Linked DNA regions of Callithrix jacchus. The main gene of each other region encodes a partner of the protein of the gene in region 3 in a complex. Links are inferred from orthologs where the notes say so. Each region holds a gene or a part of one and is shown on either strand. Other genes may lie near its edges.

Region 1 (4,060 bases), on a different chromosome or scaffold from region 3:
TCCCTTTTCTGACTATCTTTAGCTAGGAAGCAACCCTCCCCGCCCTCTTTCCTGGATCCCCTTCATTCCCTCCTTCCACAGTCCACTCCCGGGTTCCCAGGTCCAGGGCTTATTTGCCTAGACTTTGGAAAACCCCCAGCTCTCCTTCCTCCTTTCTGCAGCGTGGGGGCAGGGTGCTGGTGTCAGTCACGTCTCTCTAGCTTCAGAAGAAGGCACTAGACTCAGTCGAGGTCGAGGTGGGGGGGGGGGTCCTGCCCATCTCCCTAGCACCTTATCGTCCCTACCGTCTGTCTTTTTTCCCTCCCCAAACGGAACCCCCGGCCCTCTCGCCTATAGACGTTTAATTGCAAAAGCCAGGCCGTTTGTGGGAGACCACAAGACATCGACCCCCTTCATTTACCGGTTGAGAAGAGAGTAAAGGGGCTGCTGCAACCTGGGTAATAACCCTGTCCCCACCCCAGGAGTCACATCCTTAAGCCTTCCTTCCCTCTTGTCCCAGGACAGCTTTCAAAACGTTAAAAGCCTTTCGGCTGGGTAGCATCTGACCAGGGAGGGTCGTCCCCTCTGGCTGCTCAGGGGCGTCTGTCACTTCAGAAAGGTTAAGTGACTTGCCCCAGGTCGCACAGCAGCAGTCCGATAGGCTGCCAGGGCACTAGGGGCAGAAGGAGGAGAGAGTTGGCATTTTTCCCATTGGCCCGCGTGGCTGTAGCACTGGGGTGCAGCGAAGCCCCAGGGCCACAACCCCTGAGCTCTGTTCAATCCCGGGCGGAGATGGGGGAGCGGCTGTAGGGTACTGGTTCCCGAATGGCTAGAAAAGCCTTGCCCAGCCCCTCCAGGTAGAGGGAATGAGAGGGAGAGAAGTTGGGACATGGTTCCGGTCCCGCGTGGAAACACCTGCGCTCGCGCCAGTGCTTTAAACGCCCAGATGAGGAAAGACGCACGCGGGCGAGGGCGGGGTTGGGTTTAGATCTGGTCACATGACCTGGCCTGAGGGGCTCGAGGCCCCCGCCCCACCAGAGGGCGTCCCCCACAACGCGTGGTCGACTCTCATTGGTCAGCGGTGAGGCCAATAGAAATCGGCCATCTGGGAACCCAGCGTTCCGAGGCGCAGCCTAACATGGTGAACCGATAAAGATCCAATGGAAAAAGACAATCGTGAGCGCAGACCAATGATAAAGTGTCAAGGGCGGGCCCAAGGGCTTGGTCAGGTTGGTTTGAGAGGCGGATGGGTATAAAGGTGCAAGGCGGGCGGCGGCGGCCGTCCGTACTGCAGAGCCGCTGCCCCAAAGTCGTTTTAAAGGGCCAGCGCGCCGCCGCCCCCTCGGCCCGCCATGCTGCTATCCGTGCCGCTGCTGCTCGGCCTCCTCGGCCTGGCTGCCGCCGAGCCCGCCATCTATTTCAAGGAGCAGTTTCTGGACGGAGGTAACGCCTGATTTCGCCTCGAGGCTGCCCCGCCGACGCGGCTGGCCCCCATCCCGGATCTGCGTTGTTGCCCGTAATTACTGCTTTGGGGACCAACATGGTGGCCTCCAGGGCCTAGAGCCGAGGGCTATTCCTCTTTTGCGTCCCTGGGGAGCGCAGAGGCGCAGCGGCCTCCCGCAGCGGGAGTTAGGGTTCGCCTGAGGATCTCTTAAGGCACCTGAGGTGTCAAACTAGAGGTTGGGGTGGGGAGAGTCGGGGATCTCCTTCCCTGTCCCCAGCAGTTTTTGATTCTCGGCAGATGTTTGGTGGTGGGGAATCGGCACAACCGCGTTGACCTCCCCCCTCTAACCTCCCACTTAGATGGGTGGACTTCCCGCTGGATCGAATCCAAACACAAGTCAGATTTTGGCAAATTTGCCCTCAGTTCCGGCAAGTTCTACGGTGACCAGGAGAAAGATAAAGGTAAGAGCCTAGGAGTGGGTGCTCTGATCCGGGAGGACTTCCTGGCAGAAGTCCTTGTCTGCACACAGCTGGGACAGTCCCCTAGGAGGAGAGCAGGTGGAGGAAAGGGGAGTCGTTTGTATTCTCTAGGTCTTGGGTCCTCGGGGGTCAGGGCCCAACGGTGACCTCACTGCTATTCCGTTTCAGGTTTGCAGACAAGCCAGGATGCACGCTTTTATGCTCTATCGGCCAGTTTTGAGCCCTTTAGCAACAAAGGGCAGACACTAGTGGTGCAGTTCACGGTGAAACATGAGCAGAACATCGACTGTGGGGGCGGCTATGTGAAGCTGTTTCCTAGTAGTTTGGACCAGACGGACATGCACGGAGACTCAGAATACAACATCATGTTCGGTGAGGGGCTGGTTCCTGGTGCTGATCTCTGTCCCATTAGTTGGAGGGAGACTCAGACCCCATTGAGTTCCTTACATCCCAGAAAAGTGATTTTTGAGAGGATGGAAAGCATTTACTAATCATGATTTTCTTTGGAAGGAGAGCTAAAAGAATAGGTCACAGTTAGCAACAATTTATTGCCTTATCCCAGATCTAGGCTGTTAATTTAATTTGTATGATTGTATATAGTTACTTCCCAATCTTACAAATGAGGATGTTGAGTTCTAGAACGCTCATTTTTTTTCTTTAAACTTGAGGCTCCAGCCACAGTTCATTCAGGACAGCATCAAGGTCTGAGTCCCTCTTTTTAGCCTTGACAGACCAAGTTTAAGAACCAGGTTTTCCTTTTGTAAAGAGGGGAGAGGGCCTTGAAATGGTGGGTAGTCTCTGACTCTTAACTGGATGTGTTTCCCACCTAGGTCCTGACATCTGTGGCCCTGGCACCAAGAAGGTTCATGTCATCTTCAACTACAAGGGCAAGAACGTGCTGATCAACAAGGACATCCGTTGCAAGGTGTGCCTGGGGGTGGTGGTGGCAAATGATGGCTGTCATGGGAAGTTCAGAGGTCGGTCTGATTGCGGGGGGCCCCACTCACCTCCTTCCTTCTTCAGGATGATGAGTTTACACACCTGTACACACTGATTGTGCGACCGGACAATACCTACGAGGTGAAGATCGACAACAGCCAGGTGGAGTCGGGGTCCTTGGAGGACGATTGGGACTTTCTGCCACCCAAGAAGATAAAGGATCCTGCTGCTTCAAAACCGGAAGACTGGGATGAGCGGGCCAAGATCGATGATCCCACAGACTCCAAGCCTGAGGTAGGTGTTTGGGGAGGGGCTCTGCTTTCCACACTGGAGCGTGTGTAGGACAGCTGGGCCAACTCTGACCTCTTCTACACCCCAGGACTGGGACAAGCCTGAGCATATTCCTGACCCTGATGCCAAGAAGCCTGAGGACTGGGATGAAGAGATGGATGGAGAGTGGGAACCCCCAGTGATTCAGAACCCTGAGTACAAGGTGAGTTTGGGGTTCTGAGCAGGGCTGGAGCTCACAGTGGGGAGTCCACCAACCTCACTCACCCTCTGGTTCTTTTCTCCCTTATGCCTTCTGCAGGGTGAGTGGAAGCCCCGACAGATCGACAACCCAGATTACAAGGGCACTTGGATCCACCCAGAAATTGACAATCCCGAGTATTCCCCTGATCCCAATATCTATGCCTATGATAACTTTGGTGTGCTGGGCCTGGACCTCTGGCAGGTGAGACTTGGAGGGAAAAGGAGGATCCCTGGGGTACCTCGAGAGCTTACCATCACCCAGGAGGAAAGGGACAGGGTAGGATCACACCCCAGGAAGGTCTGACTCAAGATGGTACTTCTCTAAACAGTACTTCCTGGTCTGTCCTTATGGAGTCCTCACAGCAGCCCCTTTGAGGTTGTACTTTTTGTGCACCAAGTACTTCCCCTAGTACTTTTATGCAAATCAACTTCTTTAAATACCCCTAAAAAGCTAGAAGGTGGTCAGGTAACACAGAAAGTTTGGGGCTGGGCGCAGTGGCTCACCCTTGTAATCACAGTACTTTAGGAGGCTGAGGAAGGAGGATTGCTTAAGGCTAGGAGTTTGACAACTCAACCTTGCTTGGCAACATAGTGAGGCAACCTCATCTCTACACAAATTTTAAAATTAGCCAGATGTGATGCATACCTGTTATCCCAACTATCTAGGAAGAAAGAGGATCACTTGAGC
Region 2 (4,072 bases), on a different chromosome or scaffold from region 3:
TTTTTTTTTTGAGACGGAGTTTTGCTGTTGTTACCCAGACTGGAGTGCAATGGCGCGATCTCAGCTTACCGCAACCTCCGCCTTCTGGGTTCAAGCAATTCTCCTGCCTCAGCCTCCTGCGTAGCTGGGACTACAGGTGTGCACCACCACGCCCAGCTAATTTTTGTATTTTTAGTAGAGAAGGGGTTTCACCTCATTGATCAGGATGGTCTCAATCTCTTGACCTCATGATCCACCCGCCTCGGCCTCCCAAACTGCTGAGATTATAGGTGTGAGCCACCACACCCGGCCCCATATTTTTCTTTTTCTTTTTTTTTTTTTGTGAGACGGAGTTTCGCTCTTGTTACCCAGGCTGCAGTGCAATGGCACAATCTCAGCTCATCGCAACCTCTGCCTCCTGGGTTCAAGCAATTCTCCTGCCTCAGCCTCCTGAGTAGCTGGGATTACAGGCGCGCACCACCATGCCCAGCTAATTTTTGTATTTTTAGTAGAGACGGGGTTTCACCATGTTGACCAGGATGGTCTCGATCTCTTGACCTCGTGATCCACCCGCCTTGGCCTCCCAAAGTGCTGGGATTACAGGCGTGAGCCACCGCACCCGGCCCCATATTTTTCTTTTTAATGCAAACATTAAAATGAGAGGAGGAGCCCACTTTTCCCTCTGAGGGGAACAGCCCTTGATCCCCATGTGCACTTGACTAGCATCTTTTAAGAGGGGCAATTTTGGTAATGGATACTCATAACACATTTTTTTTTTTTAAGATGGAGTCTTGGCCTGTCACCAGGCTGGAGTGCAGTGGTGCAATCTGGGCTCACTGCAACCTCCACCTCCTGGGTTCAAGCAATTCTCCTGCCTCAGCCTCCCGAGTAGCTGGGACTATAGGTGTGTGCCACCATGCCTTGCTAATTTTTTCTATTTTAGTAGAGACAGGGTTTCACCACATTGGCCAGAATGTTCTCCATTTCCTGACCTTGTGATCCACTCACCTCAGCCTCCCAAAGTGCTGGAATTACAGGCGTGAGCCACCATGTCTGGCCAACACATTTATATAAATATAATCCAAAGGTTAAACACCATTGAATATGTGACAGTGCTTCTTGTATGATTTTATTTATTTATTTTTTTGAGACGGAGTTTCTTTCGTTACCCAGTCTGGAGTGCAATGGCACGATCTTGGCTCACCGCAACCTCCGCCTTCTGGGTTCAAGCAATTCTCCTGCCTCAGCCTCCCGAGTAGCTGGGACTACAGGTGTGCACCACCATGCCCAGCTAATTTTTGTATTTTTAGTAGAGACGGGGTTTCACCTTGTTGACCAGGATGGTCTTGATCTGTTGACCTCATGATCCACCTGCCTCGGCCTCCCAAAGTGCTGGGATTACAGGCGTGAGCCACCGTGCCCGGCCTCTTGTATGATTTTATTATGCCAAATAAGCTGAATATGTCTCCTTGGACTTCAGGGGACCTAATACCAATAAAATAATAGTAATAGTAATAATAATAATAGGCCAAGCACCTTGGCTCACGTTTATAATCCCAGCACTTTGGGAGGCTAAGGGGAGGATCACTTGAGGCCAGGAGTTTGAGAGCAGCCTGGGTAACATGATGAAACCCTGTCTCTAAAAAAATTAGCCTGAAACAGGCATGGTGGTGCATGCCTGTAATCCCAGCTCCTAGGGAGCCTGAAACAGGAGAATTGCTTGAATCCTGCCGGTGGTTTGAGTGAGCCAAAATCGTACCACTGCACTCCAGCCTGGGAAACAGAGACGGACTCCTGCTTTAAAAAAAAAAAAAAAAGGAGCAATCTTCGGCAATAAAGAGAGAGGAGGCCAGGTGTGGTGACTCACACCTGTAATCCCAGCTCTTTGAGAGGCTAAGGCAGGTGGATCACAAGATCAGGAGTTCGAGATTAGCCTGGCCAACATGGTGAAACCCCTTCTGTACTAAAAATACAAAAATTAGCTGGGTGTGCTGGCGTTCGCCTGTAGGCCCAGCTACTCAGGAGGCTGAGACAGGAGAATTGCTCAAACCTGGGAGGCGCAGGTTGCAGTGAGCCAAGATCATGCCACTGCACTCCAGCCTGGGCAACAGAACAAGACTCTGTCTCAAAAAAAAAAAAAAGAAAAAGAAAGAGAAAGAAAGAAAGGAAAAGAAATGAAAAGAAAGAAAGAAAGAAGGAAAAGAAAAGAAAAGAAAGGAGAGAGAAAACAACAACAAAAGATAAGGAAGCCTTGCCTTAAAGTCTATGCCTTAAGGTCTTCATGTGTAAAATGGGAATAAAAGCTTTTGGCTGTGCCGTAACTACCTTGAAAGGTTGCTATGGAAAATGTAACATTAGGCTCGATTTGGTCCTGATTCTACACTAACCTTTATCTTTCTCTTTATGACCATAAAAGTTCCCCGACGAGACTCTAAAATGCCCAAAACGGGAGTCATTGGTGGACTGCACCCATCGGTTTCTCCAGTGCTCTGTGGGGAGGGGAAATAACACCGGTTAGAGCTGATAACAGTTAATTTGCGTCGAGGGAAAGGTGAGGGGGACCCTCGAATAATTGAGGGTTCGCTGCCATCGACCCCGCGGCGACTCTGGCCAGCCCTAGAGGGGAGGAGATAGGGGAGCTTACACCCTTGCCACCACGGGCGTCACCCCTTCACCTCCGTCTAGAAATTCCTCTTGGAAATAAACGGTAGCCAGCGCCACCCGCAGCAAGCAGATGGCCCAGAGTGGGACCGGAGCCCCGGCCATGGGGGCGTGCACTACGCTTCCTGGCGCCACCGCCCCTTCGCTTCCGGCGGTCTCTGCGGCTCTTCAGGCGCGCCCCGAAACTACCACTCCTGTCACGTCTCGTGATTATGACCTGAGGTCTCATAGGTCGCTGCGGCGCGGGGCACGTCGGGCCCGTCCCGGAACTACCACTCCCATGATGCCCCGCGATTGTGATTCGGGGTGCCATTGGTCCCCGGGACGCTGTGCTTCCCGGGAGTTGTAGTCCCTTCTGGCTCTGTTGCTCAGGGCAACTGCTCTCTCAGGCCTGAATGTGGTGGCAGTCTCTGCGAATGGACACACTGGGAGGAGGTCGGCAGGGCTGGTGGGGAGGTGACGCGGCTGAGCGCATGGGCTCGCGAGAGGAGATACGGGGAAGTCGGGCTTGCTCTGGAGGTGAGCTGGTCGGGAGGCTGCAGGGTGGTCCCGCGCCTCAGTTTCCCTGTCTGAGGTCTGTTGAGTTCAGTGCGGGTCGCTTCATAGCAGGGGAGAAGAGCAGGATGGTCTGAGGGGCGCCAGGGTTTTCAAATTTTGGTTTGTTGATTTTTAACAACTTTATTGAGCTACAGTTTGCATACCATAGTGTTTACCACTTTTAAGCTGACGACTCGGTTATTTTTAGTAAGTCTTCAAAGTTGTGAAGCCGTCGCCACCATTCAGCTCATCCAGCTTTAGAACTCTGCAGCAGGCTGGGCGCGGTGGCTCCTGCCTGGAATCCCAGCACTTTGAGAGGCAGAGGCGGAACAGTCACTTGAGGCCAGGAGATTCAGAGTAGCCTAGGCAACATGGCGAGACCCCATCTCTAAAAAAGATAAAAATAAATAATTAGCCAGGTGCAGTGGTACATGCCTGTAGTCCCAGCTACTCGGCATGTGGAGTCGGGAGGGAAGATTGCCTGTGTCTAGGAGGTCGAGGCTGCTGTGAGCTGTGATCAGGCCACTGCCCTCCAGCCTGGGTGGCAGAGCAAGACCCCTACTCAAAACAAAACAAAACAAAAAACAAAACTAAACTTTCTATTACCCAAGGAGATTGCTTCGTTCCTTTGCAATCTGTCCTCACTCACACCCACAGTTCCAGGGAACCGCTCATCTGCCTTCCTTTTTTTTGTTTGTTTGAGGTCTCACTCTGTCGCCCAGGCTAGAGTGCAATGGCACGATCTCAGCTCACTGCAACCTTCGTCTCCCAGTTTCAAGGATTCTCCTGCCTCAGCCTCCCGAATAGCTGGGATTACAGGCGCACACCACCATGCTCAACTAATCTTTGTATTTTTAGTAGAGATGGTGTTTCACCATGTTTGCCAGGCTGGTCT
Region 3 (4,121 bases):
AGGTTCAAGCAATTCTCCTGCCTCAGCCTCCCGATTAACTAGGACTATAGGCTAATTTTTGTATTTTTAGTAGAGATGGGGTTTCGCCATATTGACCAGAAGAGGTGGCTCATGCCTGTATTCCCAGCTACCTGGGAGGGCAGAGGTTGCAATGAGCTGAGATCATGCCACTGCACTCCAGCCTGAGCCACAAGAGCAAGACTCCATCTCAAAAACAAAAAAGGAAATTAGTCCTGATACACACTATAACGTGATGCATCGACCTTGAAAACAACATGGTAAGCAAAATTAGCCAGACACAAAAAGCCAAGTATTCTACAGCATATGAAAAGGATGGACAAGATAAAGATCTAACATTGAAAATCATCTCTGAGTGGTGGCACTATGGGTAAGTTTCTTCCTTTTCTGACTTATCTGTATTTTTTATAACGAATCTGTAGCTTCTGTAGTAAAAAAAAATAATGGAAATCTTTAGAAAAATAAATCATTTTGGCTAAAAACTTCACTGCCTATTACATCACGGGTATTTCACCATGTTACTGAAGCTGAACTGATACCATGTGAGACAGATGCTGTTTCTTTCATCCTGCAGGTGAGAATAAACTGAGGAGAACAGTTGAGTGACTTGCCAAAGTTGTATAACTAGTAAATGACAAAGCAAGAATTACGATTCAGGCCTAGTTCTAACTTCGAGTCAGGATCCTTTCCCATTTCATTACAACTCAAAGACTGCAATATTACTCATGATATAGTTTAAAAAAATAATAACCTTGGGCAAGTAAGTCACTTAAAAAGTGAAGGGGTTCAAGAAAAGATATTCCAACTCTAACAGCCTCTCTTGCTTCTGCATCTTAAATCTAGAACACATTCCATTTTGTGGAAACAGATTCCAATCAAAAGAAAACCCTGCGTTTTCTTTAAAGGGGACAGAATGAATGGTTGAAGAGAAGTTGAGGCCTATGCTCTGGGCCAAAGGCCATTCTTAATGGAAACAGGTGGTGGATTGTCATGAGGAAAGAACCGCTAGGGGAACCATGATCTTCCTGGTTAAAGCAACAGCTGAAAGCTCCAGCTTTGCTTTACCAACAGCGCTGCTTCAATCTTGGCTAACTCATGATCAGAAACCACATACTAGGTAAGTAAAGCTAGACGAAAGAAGAAAATCACCGTAGCAACAGTTTGTGCATGCTATTGTAACTCTGTAATTTTCTGAGTGGACTCATTAATGCTAAAACAGAAAGGTTGATTTCTAAATGGAGACGCCTTCATTCTCACCAAGGATGAATGGGGAAGCTGAAACTTCCATAGCACTCGGAGAAAAGCTACACTTGTGGGAAAGGGGAAAGCATCCAATTAAAGCCTTCCCAATTCACGGAGAATCAAAGACAGTGAAAAGACCTTTAAAAGATGAAGTCCCAGCCGGACGCCAGTACTTCGGAAGGTAGAGACGGGCGGATCACCTGAGGTCAGGAGTTTGAGACCAGCCTGACCAACATGGAGAAACCCCTGTTTCTACCAAAAATACAAAAATGTTCCAGCTACTCGGGAGGCTGAGGCAGGAGAATCGCTTGAACCCAGGAGGCGGAGGCTGCGGTGAGCCGAAATGGAGCCATTGCACTCCAGCCTGGGCAACAAGAGCGAAACTCCGCCTCAAAAGAAAAAAAAAAAAAAGGTGAAGTTCCTGTAAAAGATACATTGGGTATTTGTAACCTCTTACAATGTACACATTATAAAGTATTTCATGCTCTTTAAAACTGTTATACAGCCTTTTTGCTCGAAGGTAATAAACCTACAGCATTAACTCTCCTGGCGAGAAAGATTCTATTTTGTGGAAACAAATTCCGACCAAAATCTCACCACATTCCCCTCAACTATGGGTATGAGCCTGAACCAGTAAGAAGCTCCTTGGAGCATGTGCAATGGTCTCGGAGAATTAAAACAACATCCTGCCCGGAGGACCACAACCAAGACACCACTGGCTTTAAATTCAAAGCCTACACCACCGGCTTTAAATTCAAAGCCTGGTCCCTAGCGAAGAAAGCGCTTAATGTGCTCCCCGCGCTTCCCGGTGCGAGATTCCTGCCCAACAACTAGGCCACGACTGGGTGAGCACCTGATGCGGGGGGAGGGCGAGCCAAGGCCTTAGCGGATCTGGAGCGAGTAACGAGGGGCTCTCGAAGCTCCGGAAAAGCGCTGCCTTCTACAGGCAGGGGCCCTTCGGCACCCCCAGGGTGGACACCAAGAACACGTGAGGCGACAGGGGCAGAGATGAGGTATCCCGGGCAGGTAGCCTGGGTCCAGCACCGCAGCCAAAAAGAAGAGGGAAAAGACGGTGGCCCTGGGCAAGACACAAGGCCTCTGAGCTCAGAGGGTGAAGGTAAAGGGCGCGGGGAAGGAAGCCAGGCCACGAGGAGGGCGGGTCTCCCTGAGCGCTGAGGCACGCGCCAGGCAAGCGCGACAGGACCCGGGGACCCCGGGACCCCGACATGCGGGAGGAGATCGCAGCCCTGCCCCGGGGCGCAGGGAACAAGGAGCGGCCGCGCCAGGCGAGCGCTGTGACCCGCGGCCTCCAGAACCGGACCCGCCCCGTGGCGCCTCCCTCTTGCCTTCTTTCCCTCCCTCCCTCCTTCCCGCGGCCCGTTATCCTGCGGCCGCAGCACTCACCAGCGGCTGCACCTGAGCCCGCCGCTACCTCAGCTGCTGCCTGAGCCTCCGCAGCCGCCGCCTCGCTGCTGAGGCTGAGTCCCCGGGGAGCCTCCGCGTCCCGCCGCCGCTGCCGTCGCTGCCGCCAGAGCAGAACACCCCAAAATGGCGGCACTTCCGGCACCTACCACCGGCGGGGAGGGCCGAAGAGGAGGGGGAGCTCGGCTAGGGGGAACGTATCACCGCGGCGCCGCCCGCAGCGTAGATGCGAGCGGAACGCGGCGTAGGGGCGGGCCGAGCGCCGGACGCTGCAGCGCCCCCTCGGGCTGGGGAGTGGAGGAGCAGCCGCGCCTAAGCCCCTGGGGCCGCGGGCGGAGCCCTCAGCGGTGGGAGCTGCGGGGGCGCATCTCTTTGTCTTCTAGCCCTACTGGAGGGAAGAGAAGGGCCTGGGATTCCGAAGTTCTCGACTCCGCCCACCGCACTCACAGGAGCTCTAGATGACCCTGGTCGGCAAGGAGGCACCCCTACTGGGCACTGAATATGAGCATAATAAGATATTTGTTGAATAAATGGATGAGTGAAGGAGTGAATGGTGCTCGGCCAGCGCCGGACACATGGCACGCCCCTTTTTGCCCAGCAGACAAGCAACAGCATCCAGGCCTTCCTTCTTTGCTGGGATGTGGATATGTGTGTTGCAAGTTCAGGGAGAGCCTTTTAGCAAGATAATCAGTGTGAAGGCACAATCTGGCAACGATCACTGCGACACCAGGAAGTTCACAAGGATTCTATTAAGAGAATGATTGCTCAGCCATAACCTGCTTTTCCCAGGAAAAAAAAAAAAATTTTTTTTTTTTTTTTTTTTTTGAGACGGAGTTTCGCCCTTGTTACCCAGGCTGGAGTGCAATGTCGCGATCTCGGCTCACTGCAACCTCCGCCTCCTGGGTTCAGGCAATTCTCCTGCCTCAGCCTCCTGAGCAGCTGGGATTACAGGCATGCACCACCATGCCCAGCTAATTTTTTGTATTTTTAGTACAGACGGGGTTTCACCATGTTGACCAGGATGGTCTCGTTCTCTTGACGTTGTGATCCACCAGCCTCGGCCTCCCAAAGTGCTGGGATTACAGGCTTGAGCCACCGCGCCCGACCAGAAACATTTTTTTTTAACAACTCACTTGTTCGGAGTTACTCAGGAATCCCTGGGTCTAGATAGAACGCAAACAGTACATTTTGTTATTGTTTAAGCAAACATTTATTCTGTAGGTTCCAGACCTTGTGAGGTAGTTAAATGTAGATTAAGAAAAAAAACTTTGTTCTGGAAGCTTCTGGCCCCATCGACATGCAAATAACTCATGGGATGGTTTCTCTGTAACATCATCTGGCTTCCCAGAGAATATAGTTTTTATACCCACAAATACTGATTATACCCTACCTTACCACAAACAACAAATGGGCTTCCAAGTGGAAGCCTCAAGAGTTTT

What was found.
Region 1: CELF1 (region 3) and CALR share a complex: the UniProt entries of both Homo sapiens proteins name them as parts of the EIF2 complex. The link is inferred for Callithrix jacchus from reciprocal best matches to the Homo sapiens genes CELF1 and CALR.
Region 2: CELF1 (region 3) and CALR3 share a complex: the UniProt entries of both Homo sapiens proteins name them as parts of the EIF2 complex. The link is inferred for Callithrix jacchus from reciprocal best matches to the Homo sapiens genes CELF1 and CALR3.

The regions. Positions count from the first base shown.
Region 1 is NC_133523.1:11,760,859-11,764,918, forward strand, and holds the start of CALR (calreticulin), read left to right. Parts: upstream 1-1,260; 5' UTR 1,261-1,331; coding exon 1,332-1,422; intron 1,423-1,782; coding exon 1,783-1,884; intron 1,885-2,070; coding exon 2,071-2,274; intron 2,275-2,732; coding exon 2,733-2,827; intron 2,828-2,925; coding exon 2,926-3,135; intron 3,136-3,220; coding exon 3,221-3,334; intron 3,335-3,430; coding exon 3,431-3,574; intron 3,575-4,060. UniProt on the Homo sapiens protein: Calcium-binding chaperone that promotes folding, oligomeric assembly and quality control in the endoplasmic reticulum (ER) via the calreticulin/calnexin cycle.
Region 2 is NC_133523.1:15,116,076-15,120,147, forward strand, and holds the start of CALR3 (calreticulin-3), read right to left. Parts: upstream 2,801-4,072; 5' UTR 2,746-2,800; coding exon 2,655-2,745; intron 2,469-2,654; coding exon 2,367-2,468; intron 1-2,366. UniProt on the Homo sapiens protein: During spermatogenesis, may act as a lectin-independent chaperone for specific client proteins such as ADAM3. Required for sperm fertility. CALR3 capacity for calcium-binding may be absent or much lower than that of CALR.
Region 3 is NC_133511.1:112,605,707-112,609,827, forward strand, and holds the start of CELF1 (CUGBP Elav-like family member 1), read right to left. Parts: upstream 2,801-4,121; 5' UTR 2,665-2,800; intron 1-2,664. UniProt on the Homo sapiens protein: RNA-binding protein implicated in the regulation of several post-transcriptional events. Involved in pre-mRNA alternative splicing, mRNA translation and stability.